4 linked regions of the Drosophila melanogaster genome follow. Changing the gene in region 1 together with any one later gene gives a genetic interaction. Each region holds a gene or a part of one and is shown in the gene's direction. Other genes may lie near its edges.

Region 1 (5,821 bases):
TATAGAACCACATTACTTTCCTAAAAAGTAGAGCAATAATATCATTTTTATAAGATCTGTAGTTAAACTATACCAAGTTTAACTGTAAGCAGTATTAACATAAATAATACTTAAGGCGCAACGGATTCTAAAAGCCAATTTCATAATCTCGTTATCTTCATATTCTAATATTGAAAAGTTATATTATCCTAACTTAGCTTAAGATCTATAATTTTTAATGATGCTATTTCATTTAGCCAAGATAATACTATGGGCTGCAACCCTTAGTTTTACACAAGCTTCTTAGTGCAATAACCATTTAAATTAATAAGATCAGATTATTTTCCTTAAGTTCAGCGACCCCTCTTTTGTATAGAATTTGTAGTTTATACACCATTTAGCTAAACAGTGTGAAATACTATTAGCTAACACTCACAGATCTTTAAAGTAAATACCGCAATGGTTTTCGGGAAAAGTGCTGCCCCCTTTGAGCTCAGTTCCAATTCCCATTCTTTTTCCAATTTCTTTGGCTCGAGTATTCTCTGAAGTGTCCGTAACTTTACGCTAAAAATATTGCCCATAAATCTCCTGACCCGGCTGTGTGCCAATAAAAGCCTTCGTAAACAACTAACCTAAGGCAATGATTCTCCGGACGAAGGGCGGCCACTATGTGGCAACCACTAAACCACCAGAAACCACTAACCGCAAACAGCCACCACAACGGCAGCAGGAGGAGTGAAAAATTAAAAAAGAAAAACGAGGAGGCGGAAAAAACACTTGAAAAATCTGTCATAAAATGTTGAGTGGTGTAAAACCAACTGGTTGAAATTGCCAACATATTTGCCTGTTTGTTTAATGAACTCGCCCAACGAGGGTTTTTTTGGTTTGAGGGGGTGAACCTTTGTCAAGAGGGTGGGTTTAACATTTTGATTACTCAATATGTTTGATTTTATGGATTTATGCCACCGCTCTGGTCCACTTTTGCAGCTGTTACATGTGACAGTAAAACCAAAAAACACAAAAACACTTGGCCGGAAAACGAAAGCTAATCCCAAAAAAGAAATGCCATCAAACCCGAACAAGTGTCCAACAAGCCGCCAACACAGAGTGCCCCCAAATTATGAGAGACGCGCACAAAGACACCTGTAAGTCGTTGTCTGCTATTAGTTGAAATCAAAACGAAAACAATGTAAGCCACAGTGAGCAAAAATAATATCTCTGGGGAGCACCAGCTCGAAGTCTCTGGAGGCTGATGGCTGAAGGCTGTAGTCTGCTGGCCACCAACGCAAAGCTGGTCGTCGCCTTTTAGCCAATTTTGATATAACTGAAAGCGTCAATTATACGTGAAATTTATGATGCCGTGTGAAGAATAACACCAACTTGCAACATATTTGGACAACGAAGCCGTTGCCATTGCCGCTGGCAGTTGCCTTTGCCGTTGCCGTCTCGGTGGCCCGTACAATTGCCGCTCTGGGGTCTCTTGTCGCAGATATGTAAGCTGATAATGGGCATTGTAGTGCAGTTTTTCTTCCATTTCTTCTGTTTTTTTTTTCTTCTTTTTTTTTAAGCGAGAAAAGATGACAAAGGAGCTGGGAGACCGCTGCCCAGTACGCCCACCAAATAGAGGAGGATGGAGACCCAAATGGCCAGGGAGACGGCTAGAGAAGACATTTTGGGCACACACCAAGTCAATTTGTTTTATCTATTGTCGAACAAGAGTCATGTCACAACGGCACAATGAGATTTACTATGTGTTGTTGCAGTTGTTGAGGCAGCAGCAGTTGTTGCTGCTGCTGTTGTTGCTGTGGTGGGCAGACAATGGAAAATCAGCAACATGATTCGATATTTAGATATGCGCCTCAAGAAATATGAGCCGCTAACAACAACAGTAAGGTAGGCAGCAGCAACAACAAAGATGCTGCCGCCTGTCTTGTTGGCCGCATGTAATTGCCAAGTTTGTTGCTTAAGTCTTTTGTTTTGGCTGCACTGATAGGCCAGTTGCATTTAAATTTGATTTATACACTTTTGGCCAGCAGATAATTGGATGGAAGTCGCCGCTCTGTCTGTGTGGTTAATAATTGGCCGATGCTAGTATCTTTCGATTTGGTTCCCAGCCGTTAAAGATTGTGGGAGCGTTCCTTCATATTAGGTGTTAATTGCCAGTCCCTTGGAGCTACTAGATCTGGAGCACACACACACATACACACACAGCCCCAGAATGCACTTATTGGCATAATTAAGTTGGAATCGTAAAAAACGGCAGCCGAGAGCCTCGGGCGCGCATGCGTGCAGCAGCCGAAGCGGCAGCAACTCCATTAACTGCCGATTCTGATTCAGATTCCGGGCCCCGGGGCTATATACAGTCGTACGACCAATCAGCGGCTGGCTAAAGAGCACTGCACGAAGAGCAAACTGGTTTTCTTCAAAGAGAAGCACAGAGAGAATCGCTGCGAGTTAAGCTCTCGGGATCGACGGCAACTTGTGCCCAGAGGCAATCAGTCGTTAGTCGAAGCCTGAAGCGCACGCAGCACTCAGCGGAAGTCGTCGCCAGTTTATTTTGAAAGCGGTTTCGGTGGTTCAGACCGAGCCACAGTTCTCTTAAGACTGCAGATCACCACCACCACCACCACCACCAGCAGCAGCAGCGACAGCTCACCTCACCACCTTTACCACCACCAAAACCGCAGCTCTCTCGCGTGACTTGCTCCGCCCCGTGAATGGATGCTGCTCGAGGGCTGGAAATGCCGCAGGATTCGGTTAACGCGTTTAGTCGAGCGCCGTGCTTCGAGCGGTGATGAGCCCCTTTTCTGTCAACGGTAAAACCCCTCCTCGAATTGGATTATTGTGCACCCAAACTGAACGCCACCGACCATCATCCATATAACAATTGTGAAAGTGTTTAATGTGCCGCAATCGAATTAAATTGCTTGCTGATTACAACAAATGATGAAGAGCAATCAACTACAAATGCTCGGTGGAAGAAAAGCAAATCGAAAGATCGACAATCAGCCGACATTTTGCTATGTGTGTGTTTCCATAGTGTGTGATTAATTTCTGAGCCCAGATCGTGTGAGCTAAGGAAAACGGAAATACCTTTCAATTAAATACAATACATTAATATATCAAAATACAATGCCGTCAAAATTGTGTTTAATCAAAGGCGAAAAGTAAAAGTGCAAACAATGTGAATATGCGAAAACGAGTGCCCCATTCCGGGGGAATCGCTGGCCACAGTGTGCTCCATTGATAACGCACACAGGGACGCAAAACAGGGACACAAACACACGAAGCTACAACTACGAAGTGGAATTGAAACATGCCAAGTGAAAGGGAGAAAGAATGAAAACATCCGACTAGTTCATAATGCACGCAGATAATACAAATAATAATAATAATGGGCGCACATAGAGAAATTTCCACTAGAACTTAATAAGTGGGATTCCCAAACAACCTATTGAAAGTATTTGACTTTCTAAAAGCGATGCTTAACACGGATTTTTTTTTCTAAATTTAAAGAATTTTGAATTGAATAACAAATGTTTTATTAGAAAGTTAAAGAACTTTCCGTATAGATGAAGTAGTGTAGTTTTCTTCTGTGCACCGGGAGAAAAGAGAGATTGTGAAATCAGTTTGGTTCTGAATGGGTGGTACGAGCATGGGAAAGCCCCTGATCAAGAGAGCGCGGAAAATGCTCGATGCACTGCTCAATGATTTACCATATGCAACGAATAACGGATCTAGCACGGTCCAAAGCTTATTCAGATCGTTAAGTTCAAGACGGTGATCTGGTTGCACAATTATTTGATAAATCAGAGTATATCCAGAAGTTACTAGAAATAGAAATGGATACACGGTATACTAAAGTTTTGAGGCCGCTAGAAGTTCATTCATCGTTTTGCAAATTGCCAAGAGAGAAGAGTGAAAGTAGCGGTATTAGGGGGTATTAAGGGGGAGGTAGCTGCATCATCCACTTGCAAAAGCCACTTCCGGTCATGCCCTGCAGCAGCAGCAACATCCACATCAGCGGCAGCAGCAGCAGCAGCATGAGCAAGAGCGGCAGCATCTGGGTTTCGATTCAAAGTCAACGACTTCCGTTCCGTGCCAAAGCCGGGAGGAGGCCCCAAGCAAATTACTTAATTAAATGGACAATTAACACCCGAGCAGGAGGAACCGGGGCGGGCTGGGGGGCTAAAGGCCATGGGAGGATAGGATGGCCGGAATGGCAAAAGCAGCGGCAGGGTGGGAAGAATGAGTAATGTGAGCAAGAGTGAAAATATCTGTAAATTAATATGCGCACAAGATGCAAATTGTTTGTGGCCAAAGACACGGCTCCATAGTCGCAGCAGCAGCAACTGCAGAAGCAGCCACATCAGCAGCGGCAGTAACAGCGTTAAATTAACATAAATTGAATTGCATTTGCATTTGCTGCACGTTGCCGCTTTTTGCGGTCTGGCAAAAGTAAATGTTGCTGCGGTGGCTGGTGGCACTTGTTGCGGCTTGCTGCGGTTGCCGCTACTGCAACTGCAACTGCAGCAGCAGCAGCATCATCTGCGTGTCAATTAGCGTTGATGATGCACAGTGAAATAGATTTTGCGCAGCCCGTTTCAATTCCAATTCGTTCGACAATTGTTACAGCTAAAGATCTACAAAACATCAGCGCCTATCAAGTGGAAGTGTCAAGTGTGAACAAAACAAAAACGAGAGAAGCACATACTAAGGTCCATATAAATAATAAATAATAATTGTGTGTGATAACAACATTATCCAAACAAAACCAAACAAAACGAAGGCAAAGTGGAGAAAATGATACAGCATCCAGAGTACGGCCAGTTATTCAGCTATCCAGAGCAAGTGTAGTGTGGCAAAATAGAAACAAACAAAGGCACCAAAATCTGCATACATGGGCTAATTAAGGCTGCCCAGCGAATTTACATTTGTGTGGTGCCAATCCAGAGTGAATCCGAAACAAACTCCATCTAGATCGCCAACCAGCATCACGCTCGCAAACGCCCCCAGAATGTACAAAATGTTTAGGAAACATTTTCGGCGAAAACCAGCTACGTCGTCGTCGTTGGAGTCAACAATAGAATCAGCAGACAGCCTGGGAATGTCCAAGAAGACGGCGACAAAAAGGCAGCGTCCGAGGCATCGGGTACCCAAAATCGCGACCCTGCCATCGACGATCCGCGATTGTCGATCATTAAAGTCTGCCTGCAACTTAATTGCTTTAATTTTAATACTGTTAGTCCATAAGGTAAGCAAACCAACCAACATGCAAAAAACGATCGAATCCCCAAAGCAATAATCGCAAAAAGCCCCAGATCCAAATACATGCGGGTGTAGTGTCTCGTCAAAAAGGCCAAAAGAAAACAGACAAAGTTGATTCAACCCATGCGAATTGGCAATGGCTGAGGGCAAAGTTTTGATGGGGGACGTAAATAATGATGATTTTTGGGTTTATTTTTTTGAGTGATTTATCAACTCCGCATCCCGAAGAGCTGTCTTTAATGAGAGCTCTTACGCTGGAATTTTCTCAAAGCAGTAAATCAAGCATATGTCAATAAACAAGATTCGTAGAACGCGTTAAAAAAACAGAAATCATTTACAGTCTTAAGTTATTTAATAAGATTGAAAATGCTGAGATTAAAATAGAGGATATATTTTCCCTGTTCAATTAATGTATCCATTACGTTTTAAAATATCAACAAATCTACCAGCATTTTGATAACTGCACTTAGTCAAAATATTCCCCAAGTTTTAACCATTAAACTGGCATTTAAATAAAGTCATTCTCGATTTTTAGAAAAAGCCTCTGACTAAGAATTCTGGGCTTAAAACGATC
Region 2 (5,745 bases), on another chromosome or scaffold:
GTAGGATACCCAATTTTGAAATTTTAAATATGAGTTATTAAGGGAATATTCAGTTTTAAAACATCTGTGAAGTACGGATTGACAATTTTTGACAAAAAAAAAAATTCTTAATTGGCTAGGTTGCCTCTGGTAGCTATCCGTCATGGTGTTTTTTTTTTTTTATTACTAAGCTGTATTTTGGAGTGCCATTCTTGACTCTTTCGAAAGGATAATTTATAATATTATTTTTATTCAAGTAAGTATTATAATTTTTTTTTATAGTCGAGTTCGTCGTCTATTAGATATCCCTTACTTAGCCAAATTAACTTCGAGGGAGACAGGTTCCTGCCCCCTTCTTTTACACTTACCACTTATTATATTTATGGTATCTAAAAACTTCAAAAGTATCGGAGTGACTCGAACTACATATTTTTAGTATTTCGTTAGATGTTGACTAAAGAAAACTTAACTGCCACGAATTCAGTATACCCTTATTACGTATTGTAGAGTAGAATTCTAACAGAGGGATGAGATGGTTATATTTTCTAATAATCACATAACATGATTAACGTTTATTATACATAAATCTACAATTATTAAAGATCAAATCGGTTTATACACCAATGTTTTACCAATGATTACTGTTACCGTTATTTTGTCCTTATGTGCCCATCTCTTATAATGTATTAGTATATTTTACGCACTTTTGTAAGATGGGCCTGTTTACAATAAAAAAAGATGTAAAATTTAAAAGAATCTATAAACAAATTATTATGAGGCACTGTACCAATTATAATGGTCTGAAAATACTGCATGTATTCGCATTTACTCTTGTCAATATTAAAATCATGAGAATTCAGCTGTGTATATTCGTAAGGAATAAGGACCCAAAATCTGTGCCGACGTCCACAACCAATCCACCCAATCAGTTCCGACTTAACCGGGGTTCTTTGAAAGCCCTCTTAAGTCAACAAGCAACAATAGCAACAACGAGGTGAAACATTTTGCCCAAAAATAAAGTTAAATGCGAAGGCTAAGTCGCACAAACATTTCAAATACGTAATACATGTTTTAAAACTTTCTGCGAAGAGTTCAAAAAGCAGCGGCGAACTTATGTATGTAACAGCAGAAGTATATTAACAATTACACTTAAAAAAATTTCTTTTTCAACGATTGAATCAACGTAAGCTGGTTGAAATTCTGAAAATGCATTGCAGTTAATGGCAAATATTTTACATTATTAAAATGTAACCGTAACCTCAACCAAAACTTGCCAAATATATGTAAGTTACAACCGGCAAAACACTCAAAATGTCAAACATTTGTGGAATCATAGTGAATGCATACCACAAAAGCTGAATATTTATAGCTGTAACTGCAATAAAAGTATTTAACGTTAAATCTGCTCCCTAAGCCATTTGGAGATTTGTGTGCACTTTGTTTCAAGCTTGTGCGGAATTAAAGGAGAAGTGACAGCAAGGTTCTATGATGACAGTTCTTATTGGAAGCAGGCGACAACTTGGGCGTAGTGCTGGTAGCGTTTGAACTGGTTGAGAATTATAAATACACCTGTCAAACGAACCTATATTCTTTCAACATTTATAGCGTCAGCATACGAAAACACAATAAATAGCTCTCAGTAAGTTAGTTACAACTTTTCTGCATGATGTTTTCAGCATGAAGACGGCATATATAGACACCATGCATCTTTTCATTACACAACTAAAGAATCAGCAGAGTCAACCGAAGACCCGCTGGTGTGAGAGTTCGTTCCCCTGTGCGTCCTCAGACCACTGTTCGTCCTCTGCGAGTTGGAATTCCTGTCACGGACTCCGCTCGCAGCTTCCAGTTCGAGTCTGGAGTCCATCCTCATTCATGTGGCGTCTGGCGCACAGCTTATACTCCTCCTGACTGCTGCTACCGCTGCCTTATTCACGTTTTGCAGCCGGCCAACTGTCCGGTGGGCGGTGCGTGGGGAGGCGATTTCGGCTGGTGCGAGAGCGCGGATAGAACACCACGCCCTCTTCGTCTACTGGCTGTGCTCTAGAGCGGGAACGAGCTACTGACGCTATCAGCTGAGAGCGCCGCCATTTGCCACTACGTGAGAGCTGCGGAATGAGCGTGTGTGCAAGCAGGATGGCAGCTCATGCGCGACATCGCACTCACTCACACTGGCGCGCGCACATCACGCACGCAAACACACGGCGAACGGGGCGGTGGAGTTTTTTGGCTTCTGGCGCTGCGCTCGCACAGCGTCCAAACATTCCCAGTTTTTCAGCTGCGACGGCTGGTTGTCCTCACGATTTTGAGTAGATCAGCTGCAGACCAAAGTCGGTAGTCGAGTTTCGAATTTGAGTCGGTTTTTGTTTTTGGAAGCGGTGCGCGTATTCGATTTTTGTTTTGACTTGAGCTCGGCTGTAGTTTCGGTTTGCCAGAACTGGATCGAAGGAGAATCGACACAGAAACAGGGAGTTGGCGAAACGGATACAAAACTGAAGTTGGATCGGTAATCGCCTGCCCGGTCATAAACAACAACACAAGGGAGCACAGCCGCATACGCATACGCGCCTCTGTCTCTAATGCCTTATCAGTAACAGGCATCGTCGAGTGTCGTAGGAAGAGCCCGACAAAGGCCGACCTTTACCACTCAATTTGGATCTGATGTGCCATTCTCGCGCTGTCTCGTAAATTAATGTCATAAATTAACTTTAGATTTCTTACGCTAACCGGTGGTCGTCAGCGGTCCGAAAACGCCTTTGCGCTCGAGATACAGGGGCGGTTTCTAATCAATACAAATATCCTACCTGCCGCCGAGTCAAGTGTTTTAGTGAGTGTGTGACCCTATGTTCCTTATATTACCTTGGTGCTAAGGAGAAAGTTTAAAAAAAGCGGCATTCAAATCGTAGTTTGTGCAATAAGAAAAGGCAAGCCAATGGTGTCAATCTCTAAGACAACGCCGAAGTGATGCATGTCCGCAAAGTAATAGATCAAGTTGTGCGCACACTTATTACCGGCGAGCCTAGCCGGGCATCTAATCGTGGCCAGTGTCAAGTGTCCAATAGCACATCTAGCCGGGGTGTAGAGGATTACCCAAGACCAACGTAGCACCGCAGCCCTTTTAAGGAGGCATAAGGCTCGCAAGACACAACGCACAGCCTACACAACGACAAACATAACACGACCGACGGACATCATCCTTGGAAATAGACCTCGTGTCATTCCAAAAGACGCACATGGGCGTCTGCACCGAGGAGCGCCCTGTGATGCATTGGGTAAGTTCTGCCGCCGTAGCACATAAAATCCAAAGTTACCAGCGATAAGACTAAAAAATAAGTCATCCACCAGTCCGTCCCAGCTCACCCAAACTCTGCCCTTTGTGATTAATATTGATCCGAGCCTGGGTTACTCGGAGTTATCAATACCAGACTGAAAGCTTGCCTATCAACAGACAGCCCCACTCAATATCGATAAGAAAGCCGCTTGGGCATTTCAGATTAAAAACAGTTCCCAGAAGTGTTCAATCAGTGGCTAGTTCGCTCGTTGAAACATTGCTGTAGAACGCGGTTACAAAATTTCAATGTGATTCCCTGCCTTAATTTTTATTCATCTAACTTAGGTTAGAATCATTTAATGTTTAAGAAGGCAGATTTTTGATGATAGTCGTACTAATCAATATACAATCAAATTGGGCGGCATAGTCGTGCAAAAAAATTAATAGATATGTAGAAATCAAAATACAGGTAAAACAAATATGTACGTTTTTACGAAATTTTTGTATATATCTGATATTCGACGCGAACGTATTCAGTTTTAGAGAATAATCACCGTGTGCCAATATATACCAATTTGATATATTTTAATAGTAGTCAATTGACCTTCAAATACTAATTTTTAACGCGAATAAGGCATTTTCTACCACACAGAGATATTCTTGTACCATTTTTTTGAAAAGAACGAATTGCCTTGATGAGTTACATGAACATCTTTTACCTATTTTTGATTTTGTCATTTTTAATTGCTATTCCTATTTTGAAACATAACGCATTCCTTATACTTTATGCAAACAATTTTTTGTTACTTTACAACTTTGGTGTTTGAAATCTGTGTGTTTGTTTTAATTCCCATCTTTTGTATGTTTTCCAAATGTCATCGATTACTGTAAATCGAGATGTACGAGTATTCGAATTCTAGTCTATATATACCACATCTATATATTGTACAAGAATTGTATAAGATTGTATTGTATAAGAATAGGAAAATCGTAAATAAATTGGAAGAGTAAAATGGTATGAAACATTCGTTGAAAAGTATGTAACAGACAGATGGAAGGGTTACCGACCCTTATAAGGGATATCCTTGATTAAGGTCAATAGCCGAGTTGATCTGGCCATGTCCGCCTGTCCGTTCTTTTATTCGTCCAACCGTCCGTCCTTTTAAACGTTTTAGGAATTGTAAAAGCTGAAACCTAGTCTTGAACATTCATATTGTACTGCCGTTTTAAAGTATTTCCAAGTCCACTAAAACAAACTCCCATATCTCAAAATTCTTTCTTCCTAAAGTATTCGAAAATGTGTTGATGATGTGTTTACCTGATAAATTCGGCACATCGATCAAGTTACGAAATTGATTAAATTCGGACTATTAAAAATTTTATAAAAGTAATTTTAGAGTTTTTTTTTTCAAATTTTTATTTTTGTACATTTCTTTTTATATATAAAAGTCGAGTTCCCCAACTATCAGATACCCGTTACTCAGCTAGTGGGAATGAAAACGCAACATTTCATCATTTTGCTGGAATATCGTTAGATATCGGTGAATAAAATGAACAAAAATTTAAATTTAAACCGCCAAGAAATACGCTTTTGAAATATGTTTTGATATTTTTCATGTTTTATAAGTCTTTAAATTTTTACCGATTTGCCAAAAAACTCTTTGACATGCACAAACAGCCCAAAGCGGCCACGCCCATCTTGATGAAAATGTTTTGGTATATTTCCGTTTTATGTATGTATTGTAATACCAAGAAAATTTTTAACACACCCTTTCTAACTTATCATTCGTCTTAATTTTTTTTCCAATTTCTTTCGATATGCAAAAAAATTGAAATTTATTTTTCGCAGTCTGCCTAGCTGAGTAACCGATATCCAATAGCGAGAAATAGACAACGAATTCAAATACATTTTTTTGTAGCTGTCATTTGCCCGTAATCAAAATATCGGAAACATCAATAAGTCCTATTGTTAAGTTTGTTACAAAACTCAATTTTAATTCAATTCAATTTTTTCTACAAAAACTCAATTTTAATGTGAATAAATACAAGGGGAAATTTGCTTGATATTGTGCGCTTGGCAAATTAACACAATAAAAATATTTTTAGTGCACTAAGTATCATATACATACATATGTTTGCGATTCTTATATTCTTTAAAATAGTAGAAACTTTTTCGATCTTTAATGTATTTTACAATAATGTTAGGCATTAACGGTGCTTATTATATTATTATACGTTATTATAACGTATTATTATTATTATACGTACACATCCGATATACTCTGTTTGATGACTGTGGATCGACAATGTTAGGAACTTCAAATTAGGAACTTACAAATGTATCATTTGATATAGCTAGAAAAACACAGACATTTTTTTGAAGTAAGTGCTTTCTGTCTACAGAGTGGCCAAATAAGCTTAAAAGTTGTTTGAATATTTGTAGTGGTATATTAGTTGTTTAGCTCGGTATCTGTAATATTGTACTTTTTGCCACT
Region 3 (5,506 bases), on another chromosome or scaffold:
ACACAAACAAACAAAATTGAAATTGAATTGAAAACTATATTTTTACGGGATGCTACAGTATTATTGCAATTTAATCGATAATCCCCAAGCCGCAAAAAACTAAAAACAAAAAGATGTCCAAATATTGGTGATTTACGAGTAAAGTGAATAAAATTAGAAAAACCACCAACATATATATATATATATATATATATAGTTCCCACTTTCCAACTTTTTGATCGGGTTTTCAGTGGCACAGCATTTCAGCATCCATGTGAAAAGTTGAATATTTTTTTGTCTAGCCCTAAGCGCGTAAATGATATTTGAACTTAAATCAATTATGTAAAGAAGCAAATGAAATATTGTATATCGTATATATATATATATATATATATATATAGAGCATAAATGTGTATGTCAACGCTTGAATTAAAAAATGACTAGCTAAGATTAGAGAGAATGTTTGTAATTTTTTTTTTTTGTCTGCCTAGTTTAGGTTTAAGCCTATTTATAGACGTAAATGAAGAATTTTAAAGGTAAAAAGAAAAACTTAAAAAGCTTAGAAACAATTTGTAAAACATTTGAGCGATCTACCAAAAAAAAAAAAAACGCAATTAAGTGTAAAGCGTTCAATTTTTAACACGAAATGCTGCCTTATGATTCCTCGTTGGGTTCTTAATTCACTAAGCCAATACTGTAATTAATTAACTAATTTATTGTTTCATATTTTATTTTTTGTTTCTTTCGAGAATATACATATGTATGTATTTATCTAAAGTAATTCTGAAAATGCTTAAAAATAATGCCCGTTCGTTTAAACTGATTTATACACTCGAATCTAATTCTATTCTTTCCGTGGGCCAATTGCGCCGAGCTTTTTAACTGGGATAGCGTTCCGAAAATCGGAGATAAGTATGGTGTTACATATTTTTTTTTGTTTTCGATAATTGTCAAACGATTCAATTAAGCGTTCAATTATATAGACGTTACACACGAAACGAAATGAAATTCAAATGAAATCCTATTAAGCCAAGTAAAGTATGATAATTGCAGGAAGCGGAGTTGCGAAAAAAAAAGGTACGGAAAATGAAAACTAAGAACGTATTGCGGGAAAACCTAACTTAAGTCGAGAACAACTCAAATTAGTTGAAATAAAGATACGAGAACAAAAGGAAAATAAAATACTTAAAAAATGCTACAAGTGCGTTTTTCAATCAAATTTATGCACATTTTTTTCCAGTGCCTACGAATTTTACATTGTCGAATTTTACATTATACATAGCGTAATTTCTACGAATCTTACATTGTCGAATTTTACATTTTACATAGCGTAATTTCTACATACCGCTATGACGGCACTAAAGCGCCATTCGGCGAAATGGGGAAACTACTCATGCAAGCGGCTCGGAGCCCGGCTAACGTTATTTGTTCACCAACCGATCTCGCAACGCTGCGAAAGAGCGCGCTGCCAAAATGGCTCCCCGCCATACGGTATCTTTTTCTTGCACCGACGCGGTCACACTGCCGATTTGAAACAGATCGCTTTTTTCCAGTGGACGAAACGGTTGTGAAAGCGGACGAGCGTTAGGCAGACGAACCTGGAAAGCGCAGAGCACAGTTCTCAACATTTATTTTTTTTTTGAATGTGTGTGCAACAACGCACGTAAAATCGCGCTGCCAACAGGATATACAAACAAATCAATTACACAGCAAGCAAATGCAATGAAATGAAAAGGATGGCCCCAGCGGGAAAGCCGTTCAGCAAGAGCAAGGAGTGCCTGTCGCAGGGATAGCAACGAGAGAGCGACACAGAGAGCGAGAGAGAGAGAGGGAGAGAAACAAGGATTTTCGAAAAGTGTATCTACCTCGAGTCGCGCGTGTGTGAGAGTGAGACGAAAGCCGAGTGCAAGAAGCGCAAGAGGAAGAGAGCAATACGCAAGCGTGCGGCGTCGGTTTGAATTTGAATTTGTGGCTCGATCCTCGCGAAGAGAAAAGCAAGCAAAAGATACACGAAAAGCGTTCTTTTTTTGCCACTTTTTTTTTATGTTTCAAAACGGAAAATGTCGCCGTCGTCGGGAGAGTGCCTCCTCTTAGTTTATCAAATAAAGCTTTAAAGTCTGAAGTTCAAAACTATAAAAAACAAAAAAAAAAACAAAAAAACAACAAACGCGCTAAAACAAAAAATTGCTTAAACTACTGAGACTAGCATACTAAACCTAAACTCGCAGTTAAACATATCCTCAAAGAGAGACCAAAGAGGAGCGCTAAAGAAACCGAGAAGCGAGTAGAGGTGAAAAACTGGAAAAGTGGTTAACTGGAAAACTGGATTACAATGCAATCGCAGCGCAGCCGACGTCGCAGTCGCGCACCAAACACTTGGATTTGTTTTTGGATTAACAAAATGCACGCCGTTGCGTCGCTGCCGGCGTCGCTGCCTCTGCTGCTGTTGACGCTGGCGTTTGCGAATTTGCCAAACACCGTTCGCGGAACTGGTGAGTAAAGCGGAGACGCCGATCAGAACAACTAGGCGGGGGGAGGGCAGGGTGACAGGCGGGGTCGCCCGAAAATAGGGTGGGTGCACAAACTGGAATTCCAGGAGGCTCAAAACGTTCCAAAACGCTTGCCAAAGAACGGTTTTTTACAGAACCAAAACTATGAGATAAGATGATCTTGTATAGCTGAAAGATGTGGATCTCAACTAATAGTACTGAATCGCATAATTGTTTGGTCTTAGATGTCAGTTTTAAATGGAGCATACTTAGTATGAAACAACTAAAATTGCAATTACAAAATATACATACATTTGCATTGGACTAGTTCCGCTTAAACCCGTTGGATAGATCGCTACATTGCATAGCTAGGAAATGTTGGTCTATAAAATCGGATGCATTCGCAACACATATAAGTGACTGAGCAAACCCATGCAACTGTAATCCAAAAAGGAAGTGATGCTACTTAATCTGCTTAATAAGCCTATAGGATTGTTGCAAATCCTACCTTAAAGAATTTCACTTTAAACGCAATCGTCGGAATCCGCTCCCAAATGCGTTCTCTGTGTTTCTCCATTCCCTTTTCGATCCTCTTCGTTTGTCTCCCTTTTGGGCAGCTCCTCTTCGCTCTTCGCCTTCCTTTTCATGGCTTGTATTCACCGCGCTTCCTTTTGCGCTGTCTTCCTTGGCTTCGCTTTGTTGTCGCTTTTCGGACAGGTGGTCGTTTTTTTTTCCTCTCTCTTTCTCTCTCTCTCTCTCCTTGTTGTCTCGCTGATCTCGTTCTCGCTCTCGCTCGATCGCTGTCGCTGTCTCGCTCTCCGCCGACTGCGCATGCTCTCTCAGATTTGGAAACCCACCTTTTCGAAACAAGAAAGACCGTTTTTACCGTCGGCAAAAGGCGAGTTTTTCCATTCCCCTAGCACTCTAGGCACTCTTTCCTTTGTGTTTTCTCACTGCGCTATTTGCTCGCTAGTAGTGAGTGGCCAACTTCCTTTCCAGCTTTGGAAGCGAACTCTCCTCCTCCACACGCTGTGTTGTGCCGCATGCACATGGGGCTTACTTGGGTATTTGCATATGGAGCGGTCGTTGTCTAATCACTGAACAAACACCGAATCGTATCGGATCGGATCGGATCGGTTGTAGGTGTACTTAGGGTCGATTGCCCCAGTAAAATGTCAACTTTCCATGGAACTCGAAATCTCTTCGACGGAATTCTCGGCTCAACGATGAGAAAGTATGGGGAATGCAGCTCGATATCATAGTATTTTGAAACAAATTTGATAATGTCAGAGAATTTTTTGTTGTTTCATTATTCGAAAATCTATCGAAATCCATCAATCCATCAAACGTTTAAAAGCAATTAAATGATCATTACTAGAAATTTGATCCCTGAGCACTGGGCAACTTTATTATTACGCACTCCATGATCTCTGCTATTTTTTTTATATTTTTTAACAGCTGCAACCGAAGAGCGTTGAACTATTATGTTTATAACTTTTACCTGGGCATTTCCTGAGCTCGAGTTTCCGCCTCCTAAACTCTTTTTTTTTCTGGCTTTATTAGCCATGGGTAATCGTGTGATCTTTGCAGTTTTAGCCAAAGGAAGTTGTAGTAAAAGTTAAATAAACGGTATAAAAAAGTATACAAATGCATATGCATATAAAGGTGAAAAAAATGCTGAAAGTAGTAATAATAAGAGTGTTAATTGATGCCAGGATATATTGCAAAAACAAAAAGGGCATCCTTTGCATTCAGTTCACTTCATTCTACTACTGCGCTAAGAAAAAAGTGTTCGAAGATGGAAAAAAAAAACCAAAAAAAAAAACAAAAATCTCTCGAATCTTCATGTACATTTTTGTACCTATTAAGTTCTCACAAATTTACGCCCCATTAGCTCCAATCCAAGTTTGTTCAACTTTGTGCGATCGAACGCCTGCATTTAGCCACAAATTTAGGGTATTATTTTTTTGCAGGTTTAATGTGGCACGTAACGGTTTCGAGAAACGAGAACCAGAACCAACCACCGCATTCGATTTCATCATATATGTACACAACCAGGCGCATATAGAAAGAATGTAGTTGGAATAAACGACAGCTGGGCTCCTGGAGCCAAAAGTGAAACAGCAGCAGGAGAAGCAGGAGCAGCAGGAGCAACCCCTGAGTCCTGGCATATTGCACATGCGCGTCCTTTTTGCTGTTTGTTCAAAGATCAAATTACGATATGCTATGGCATGGCATCGCACGGCATGGTGTTGTTGTTTGTATCGTGAGCGAGAAGGGAAATGAGCGGGCATAGAGTAGAGATACTTTTGTATCTGCGCGCTCTCTCGGCTATTTCCTGTATATCCTGTGCGCACCCCAAAAACCAAAGAAGTAAAAACCGAAAACACATTTCTTGACTTTCGTAAGTCACGCACACGGCGGATCCCTAATTAGCCCTCGCCTAGACTTCAAGTCAATATAAATATACTACATAAAGTACTATATATGCATGTACATATATACGTAAGTATGTATGTAGCTCTGGCGCATGAAGTCGGCATGTATGGCGATGCATAACCAACATGCCCATGGTTATGGATCGTAAAGTGTGCACTTTATGGTCGGAATGGATCATCCACATAAAGTTGCAACCAAATTTAATGGAAATAAAAATTTAAGAGGGGAAAATGGAGGGAGGGCACTTAAATTGAAGGATCAACTAGAGATGAGGGTAGCAATACCTAGATTTATGTTCTTAAAAAGGAAGAGTACATGAAGTCAAAACTAGGCAACATTAAGTAAATACCATAAATACCATACACTATACATTTGAATAAATAATGCATTAAATGATCATTAAAAGATGTGAGAAGCAATTGGTAAGAATGCTTCAGTTAGTGAGTAAAACCAAGGTAGTCATTAATAACCAACTCAAATTGAATTCGAATCTCAATACCTCAATTCCATCAATATAAATAACTTTGTACTGTATGTCTGAGATGCATTTATAACACCTAAAGCAAAAAACCAGGCCAATTCCCACGAATGCAAACCCA
Region 4 (5,952 bases), on another chromosome or scaffold:
GAAAACATTTTTGTTGTGCTGCAAGCTGCATGCGAAGTTGTATGGTATTTTCAAAAGTGTTATTGAACAATTATTTTTTAATTTTTATGGAGATCTTAAAATGGTTTGGGATGTGTAAGTCCGAGTTGAGCACTGAGTCCGTGGCAACGCCTTCGGTTTACATTTTACAATCCTAACAAGGTTAGGCCGCCCGATAAACGGAGCTGCACTCGTTTGGTTATAAGGCTAGGTTGTGATCTGGGCTTTTCAGCTGAAGTTGCAGTTGAAGATGCAGTTGAAGTTGCAGCCGAAGTTGGAGGCTGGGGATCGGAACTTGGAACAGGCAGCTTGCAGCTGGAGGTGGCACATGCCTAACCGGCAACCAAGCTGCTATGCAAACACACACACACACACACACTTATACGGAGCGGAATGGTGGCCATGGCTACGAACTGTACATACGGAATTGCACATTAAAAATGAGCAATGGGAGTGGGCGGAATACGGAGGAATGGGAAGTGGGTTCCGAGGGTTTCGTGGCAAGCGGGCGGCTGATTCCAGCCGAGCGATGTCTTTTTCTGTGGCAGAACAAGGTTGGAATGGCCTGCGTCGCCGCTACCACCGTCTCTGCACCGGTAGAAAAATCATACTGACATAATAATAAACTAATAAAAATAATTAAAACACTGTGAAGGCCAATTGATTTTGCTTGCTCATTTGGGTACACACAATGGCCACTTAAGTTAAACAGTTTTAAAGCCCCTGGGTAATTGTCGATGGTTCTAAATTTATGCTAAGCTTTTGTATTTAAAGGGCTCAGTCTTAAATAATCTAAAACATTAAACTATTAAGGGTTGGATAGATTTTTCAGCTGACACAAGGCGATAAAAGTTTACATTTTTATGCTGTTCTCTTACCGAATTAAATACGAATTCACTATTTTCTTGCAGTGCTCCGCCGACTCTGCTTAATGCAATTCAGGCGAAAGGCGCACAAAGGGACAGCGAACAAGATGCCGAGTTGCTGATTGTGCGGGCAGCGCAGTCGACGCGGGCAGAGGTGTCCGCAAAAGCTTTTGTCGCCGCCACAAACATGGAATATGACAAGCTGGTGAGGAGTAGGATGGGATTCGGATTGGGATGGAATGGGATCGAGCTGAATGGGCTGAGAGCAGCAAGAGGAGGAGGAACGGGAAGATACTGCTGGATGGTGCCTGGCATGCAAAGCATTGTCAAGTGGGGAGCAGGCCAAGTGCTACACAAAAACCGAGCGACAAAGAAACGTCGCAGAACGCTGCCGACGCACGTGAGATGTGGATGCATTTGATGCACGGAGCGAGAAAGGGATGTAGAAATTAGTAGTTTGAAATTATTGTAAAAGAATTCTTCTGTTTGTATTTTTTAGTTAAATTAATTACTTATCCATAAATACACTGTCTAACTATTTCTAAGCCACTTAAAGGTATAATATAATCTGAAAAGACCTCTCTATTTGAAATAAAATTTCAATGGTAAATAGAGGAGCGGCTCTTGAATGTTTAAATAAAGTTTAATGCTTGCACTTTTTGTTCCAAGTGCATGATTTAAGAGTGTGTAGGCTTCCCTGTGTGGGCAGGGTAGGGAAGCCAGGCGAAAGAGCGATGGAGAGAGCGAGAGACAATGGCGACAATAAAAATGCGATCGCACAACATGCTCCACAGATAAGTTAACGCAAAGTGACAACGTACAACTTTTAATGGAATTGTCGTCGCCGACGGTGGGCGGTGGGGCGTGGCAGGGTAGTCAGGAGGGGAGTGGGGGTATATATGACATAGCCAAGAAGTCACCGCATTTGGAGCGCTGCCAAGTCAGTTGAACTATGTTTACTTTAAGGATACGGCCGCCACCTGGAAAAGGGACCTTCAAAGGCTGCCTTACACGATTCCGAATCCCCGATTCCGATCAGAAGTGGGCTGAGTGGGGGTCGACACACGAGCACATGAAAATTGCCTTCGGCAGCTACTGTGGCACAAGCTAAAGAGAGAGGATGAGAGCGAGCGCGATCGAAGAGAGAGCGCCAGCTGCTCCCATTGGAGCAGCTAACGTTTCCAATTGGACCAGCTCAAAGGGAATTCTCTCTCTCTCTTTCTCTCTCGCTACTCTCACCGCTTACTGGTCTTTCTGGTTTTTGTTTTGTTTACGATTTTCGCTGGAAGAAGAGAAGAGTAGATCGCGCTACCACAATCAGTTGCTTTTCAAGCTTGCCACAAGCAAGACGTCAGTGCGCGCGTGCTGCGATATCGAAATCGAAATAAACTTAAAAGATATCGTAATTTCAGAAATCGAGCAGAATTCATACGATCCAGGAAAAGAACCAGCTAATATTGGAATATAAAACCTACCCAGTGATCAAATCGGCGGTGCTTCAATGTGCGCGTAGTGGTCCGTAACCGTATGATGAGCCTGACTGTGCTCTCGCCACCGCAACGTTTTAAGCGAATCCTGCAAGCCATGATGTTAGCCGTCGCCGTCGTCTATATGACCCTACTGCTCTACCAGAGCGCCTACGGATATCCGGGCATCCAAGTGAGTTGCGAGTTCGAGTGGGCGACATAATCCAGCTTGCGTGGGTGTTGTTAGCGCTGCGAAACTGTCAAACGTGTGTGCTCCGCACTGATCTGCATAAGTTGCAAAGCTGCAAAGGCCAGGCAATTTGCATTATCCCCCTTTGATTCCGATCCCGATCGACGTCGACTCGTGCACTTTCATAAATCAACGCCGGCGACTTGAGTTTTGCAGCTGCGGCTTTGGCCGTTAAAAAAACCTTTTACGCCCTTGCCTTGCATATAAAACAGTTTCGGTGCTTGGCTTTTTGCGCTTTTATACCCTAATAGGGGGTATCATAATTGAACACAAATTTCGGCGAGGAAGCGTTTTAAAAGGATATACCCTACGATTGGTGATTGGATGGGGATCGGTATCACGGGGAATTCATTTGGAACTAAGGACTTGATTGCTTTAGAAATTGTGCAGAAGTTTATGTAGAGGTAGTGCCTAGCTTAGTGGTTTGTTTCAAAAATGGAAATATGATCCTGAATTTATTTGTTTTTTTTTTTTACAATTAAGCTTATATTTGATTGATTTAAGGACAAGAGAATGTAATTCTGTTAAAGTTGATGTTCAAAGATCGGCTCGCATTATCGAGACATTATTAAAATCCTAAAATCATACCATTAGGCACTTGGAATATATTTTTGAAAATCACCAATACTTTCCAATTCCCACAAGAGTATTCCCAGTTTCGATTACCGAAGATCCAGTCAACCGTTCCTGAATTTCTTGGTTTGCCGTCGGCAGAGCGTCGCCAAAGCTTTCAGTTGCCTGATTCCAGGGCCTGTCAGGGTTCTGAGCCCTGTCTGCTCTGCCCATTTATTATTGTTCTCTTCTTACTCTTGATTTTTGCATAAATTTTTGTGTAATAAAATATTGTGTGCTAATATTACCAAGGTGTGCGCTGCGAGGGGGGATCTCATGGAGGTGAATCTCAATGGACTCGTCCAGTGGAAAACCTTGTCAGTTGCATCACAGATAACAAATAGTTGAGGTCCGTGGGAATGGCCTTAGTTAGCCTCCTATTGCATTGCAAACACTTTTTGGCAGGGTTTTATGCGAACAGGCTATTTTTAGAACCCTTGAAATTCGAACTATGTGTCCACCTTCTAGGATTATCATATTTTAAAAACTTTAAATGAAACGACGCCATAAGAAAATAGTGCACATATTTTTAATCAGTTGCATATACAGATTCCTCAAAGTTTTCTTCCAACATTTCTTTATATAGTTCGATTTTTGTTAAATGAACCCTACTGCTGTAGTTATACCTTCAACTGTTACAGCTCCCTAACTAAGGCTTACAAATTTCATAATATTAGTGATTCGAGCCGCTGGCAATAGAGTTAAGAGCTCATAATTGAATCAGCTGCAGCATCCTCAAAAATATCCATGTAATCCCCTTGCCCTTCACCACCTTCCGGCTTCTCAATTTGCAACTCAATTGCCCAACTTCGAGGCTTCGAGGCGAGTTTGTGGAGGCTCCCCTGTAATGTTTTCGCATGCTGCTGCTAGTGTAATTAAAAACTTTATGTTGTTTTAATTCGGACAATGCTGTTGACGTTGTGGCTCTTCCAGTTGCTCTACTCTTTTTTTTATTTTTGTGTTCTGGGGCTAACCGGAAACTTGGCAGGAATTAGTGCTACACACACATCGCACTACTAAATACTGAGCCGGATAAAAAACTGTCGACAACTGCTGTACTGTTGTTTGTCTTTTCAATTGAAGTTCTGTTCCATCGGAGGTCTGTGACTTGTCCCAGTTTAAAAACTGCATGCCGCGTACAATTTGCTTAATTCTTTTCGTACTTCGTATATGAGTGTTCTCTTTTTGTTCCTAAATGTTGCGCAAAAAGTGCTGCTTGTTGACTTGACATGACTTGGCTTGGCTCGATTCTTCGAACTGTTGAACAGCTAAACAGTCGACTGGACACATACTCGCGCTAAACTGGGCTTGGCATTCGCCTGATAAAGCAATAATTTCGAAATCGGGCGGGGGCGGGGCGGGGGTATTGTCATGGGGGTCTCCATCAGCCCCACAACCCTGCCTATCCAAGATTCCCAGTATCTGATGTCTCATGTCCAGTTGCAGCTCACGTCGCCAGGTCGCCAGGTTGGCATGTCGCGTGTTGCTGACGCATAAATCATAAATGAAACGAAATGAATAATAATCGTCAAACGATTTGCTTGTTTATGAATTTCTTTAAAGTGGCGCGCCAAATGGCCACCAGTCGCTGATTGATTTGAGTAGTTTGTTGTGGCTACACTGTGATCAGCTTACCGATGACACATCGATATGGATAGTAGATTACTTACGTGCATTTATGAACGTGCACAATATAGATTTTTTCTGTAATGACATCTAATTCTTCTTCTAAGATATCCGAATTTATTTTCCAGTATGGACTTTCAAATATTTTTGACGAGTGCATGGTAAATACATAATAACATTAACAAACTCCTAAGCTGAGGAGCATGCAAATCAGCTTGAGGAAAGCAACAGCCACAAGAAGCCTTCGAGGCAGCCCGAGAGACAAAGACCACGATGATGATGATGATGATGATGTGATTCCTGTTTTTGGCCAGGCCAAAAGCAGGTGCTTGCTCTTCACTTCCCATGGCCAACTTAATGCAGCTGGTTGCAGCTACCTTTCCGTGGCCCCTCGATCCACAAAGCCCTCCTTCTGCCCGCCGCTCACGTAATCAGCCCGAAAAAGTTGACGACATTAAGCCGCGGAAGGCGCCTGATAAAAGGAGTAGTATCTGCAGCTGGGCAACCGAGTAAAAGATACCCATATCTGGGTATCTGGGTATCTTTTGGTGGTCGCTTAATTGAGCCTGGATGCTCGGATGCCTGGCTGCTGAGCTGCTGCTGTTGTTGTTGTTGTTGTTGTTGTGTGTATCTTATCTTAGATTCGTATCTTACGGATAATATTGTTAAACAGCATTTAATGAAGATTTTCCCGCTCGCCCAGCTGGAGGCGAACGAACGGTTCTGATTGCATTTTTTCGGGAATGCCTTTGATTTGTTCGATTTCGCTGATTTATGCTTTCCGTTATGGCGACCAGAGTTTAACTCAATTAATCTTCCCAAAGGTCGCCTGAGAGGGGTAGATTCCATTTGGCGCCCTTTCATATTATTCACTCGCACCTCTTCGCTCGATTCTTATGGTTTGCTCGTTATTAATTGACATGGAAATGTTTATAAACATATTAATCACGCGGCTAATGAAGCATTAGTCATTCGAGTGGGCGTAGTGGGGGGCAGCTGTTGCTATTGTGCGGACCGTGTTAAATTTGTTTTGGGATTTTATATCTATTGAATCACCTTTCACCCGGCACTTGTATGTTGTAGGCTGTACATTTGAAGAAAAAATTTGAGTTCT

What was found.
Region 2: of Ser (region 1) and ap, changing one suppresses a phenotype caused by changing the other (phenotypic suppression), as found in Drosophila melanogaster (2 studies listed by BioGRID).
Region 3: of Ser (region 1) and N, changing one suppresses a phenotype caused by changing the other (phenotypic suppression), as found in Drosophila melanogaster (3 studies listed by BioGRID).
Region 4: of Ser (region 1) and fng, changing one suppresses a phenotype caused by changing the other (phenotypic suppression), as found in Drosophila melanogaster (5 studies listed by BioGRID).

What each region holds. Positions count from the first base shown.
Region 1 is NT_033777.3:27,190,918-27,196,738, reverse strand, and holds the start of Ser (serrate), read left to right. Parts: upstream 1-2,471; 5' UTR 2,472-2,795; intron 2,796-4,614; 5' UTR 4,615-4,996; coding exon 4,997-5,233; intron 5,234-5,821.
Region 2 is NT_033778.4:5,723,327-5,729,071, reverse strand, and holds the start of ap (apterous), read left to right. Parts: upstream 1-2,239; 5' UTR 2,240-3,212; coding exon 3,213-3,251; intron 3,252-5,745. UniProt on the Drosophila melanogaster protein: Required for the normal development of the wing and halter imaginal disks.
Region 3 is NC_004354.4:3,133,357-3,138,862, forward strand, and holds the start of N (notch), read left to right. Parts: upstream 1-1,513; 5' UTR 1,514-2,311; coding exon 2,312-2,471; intron 2,472-5,506. UniProt on the Drosophila melanogaster protein: Essential signaling protein which has a major role in many developmental processes. Functions as a receptor for membrane-bound ligands Delta and Serrate to regulate cell-fate determination.
Region 4 is NT_037436.4:20,945,761-20,951,712, reverse strand, and holds the start of fng (fringe), read left to right. Parts: upstream 1-2,200; 5' UTR 2,201-2,411; coding exon 2,412-2,543; intron 2,544-5,952. UniProt on the Drosophila melanogaster protein: Glycosyltransferase involved in the elongation of O-linked ligands to activate Notch signaling. Possesses fucose-specific beta-1,3-N-acetylglucosaminyltransferase activity; extends the O-linked fucose on the Notch EGF repeats.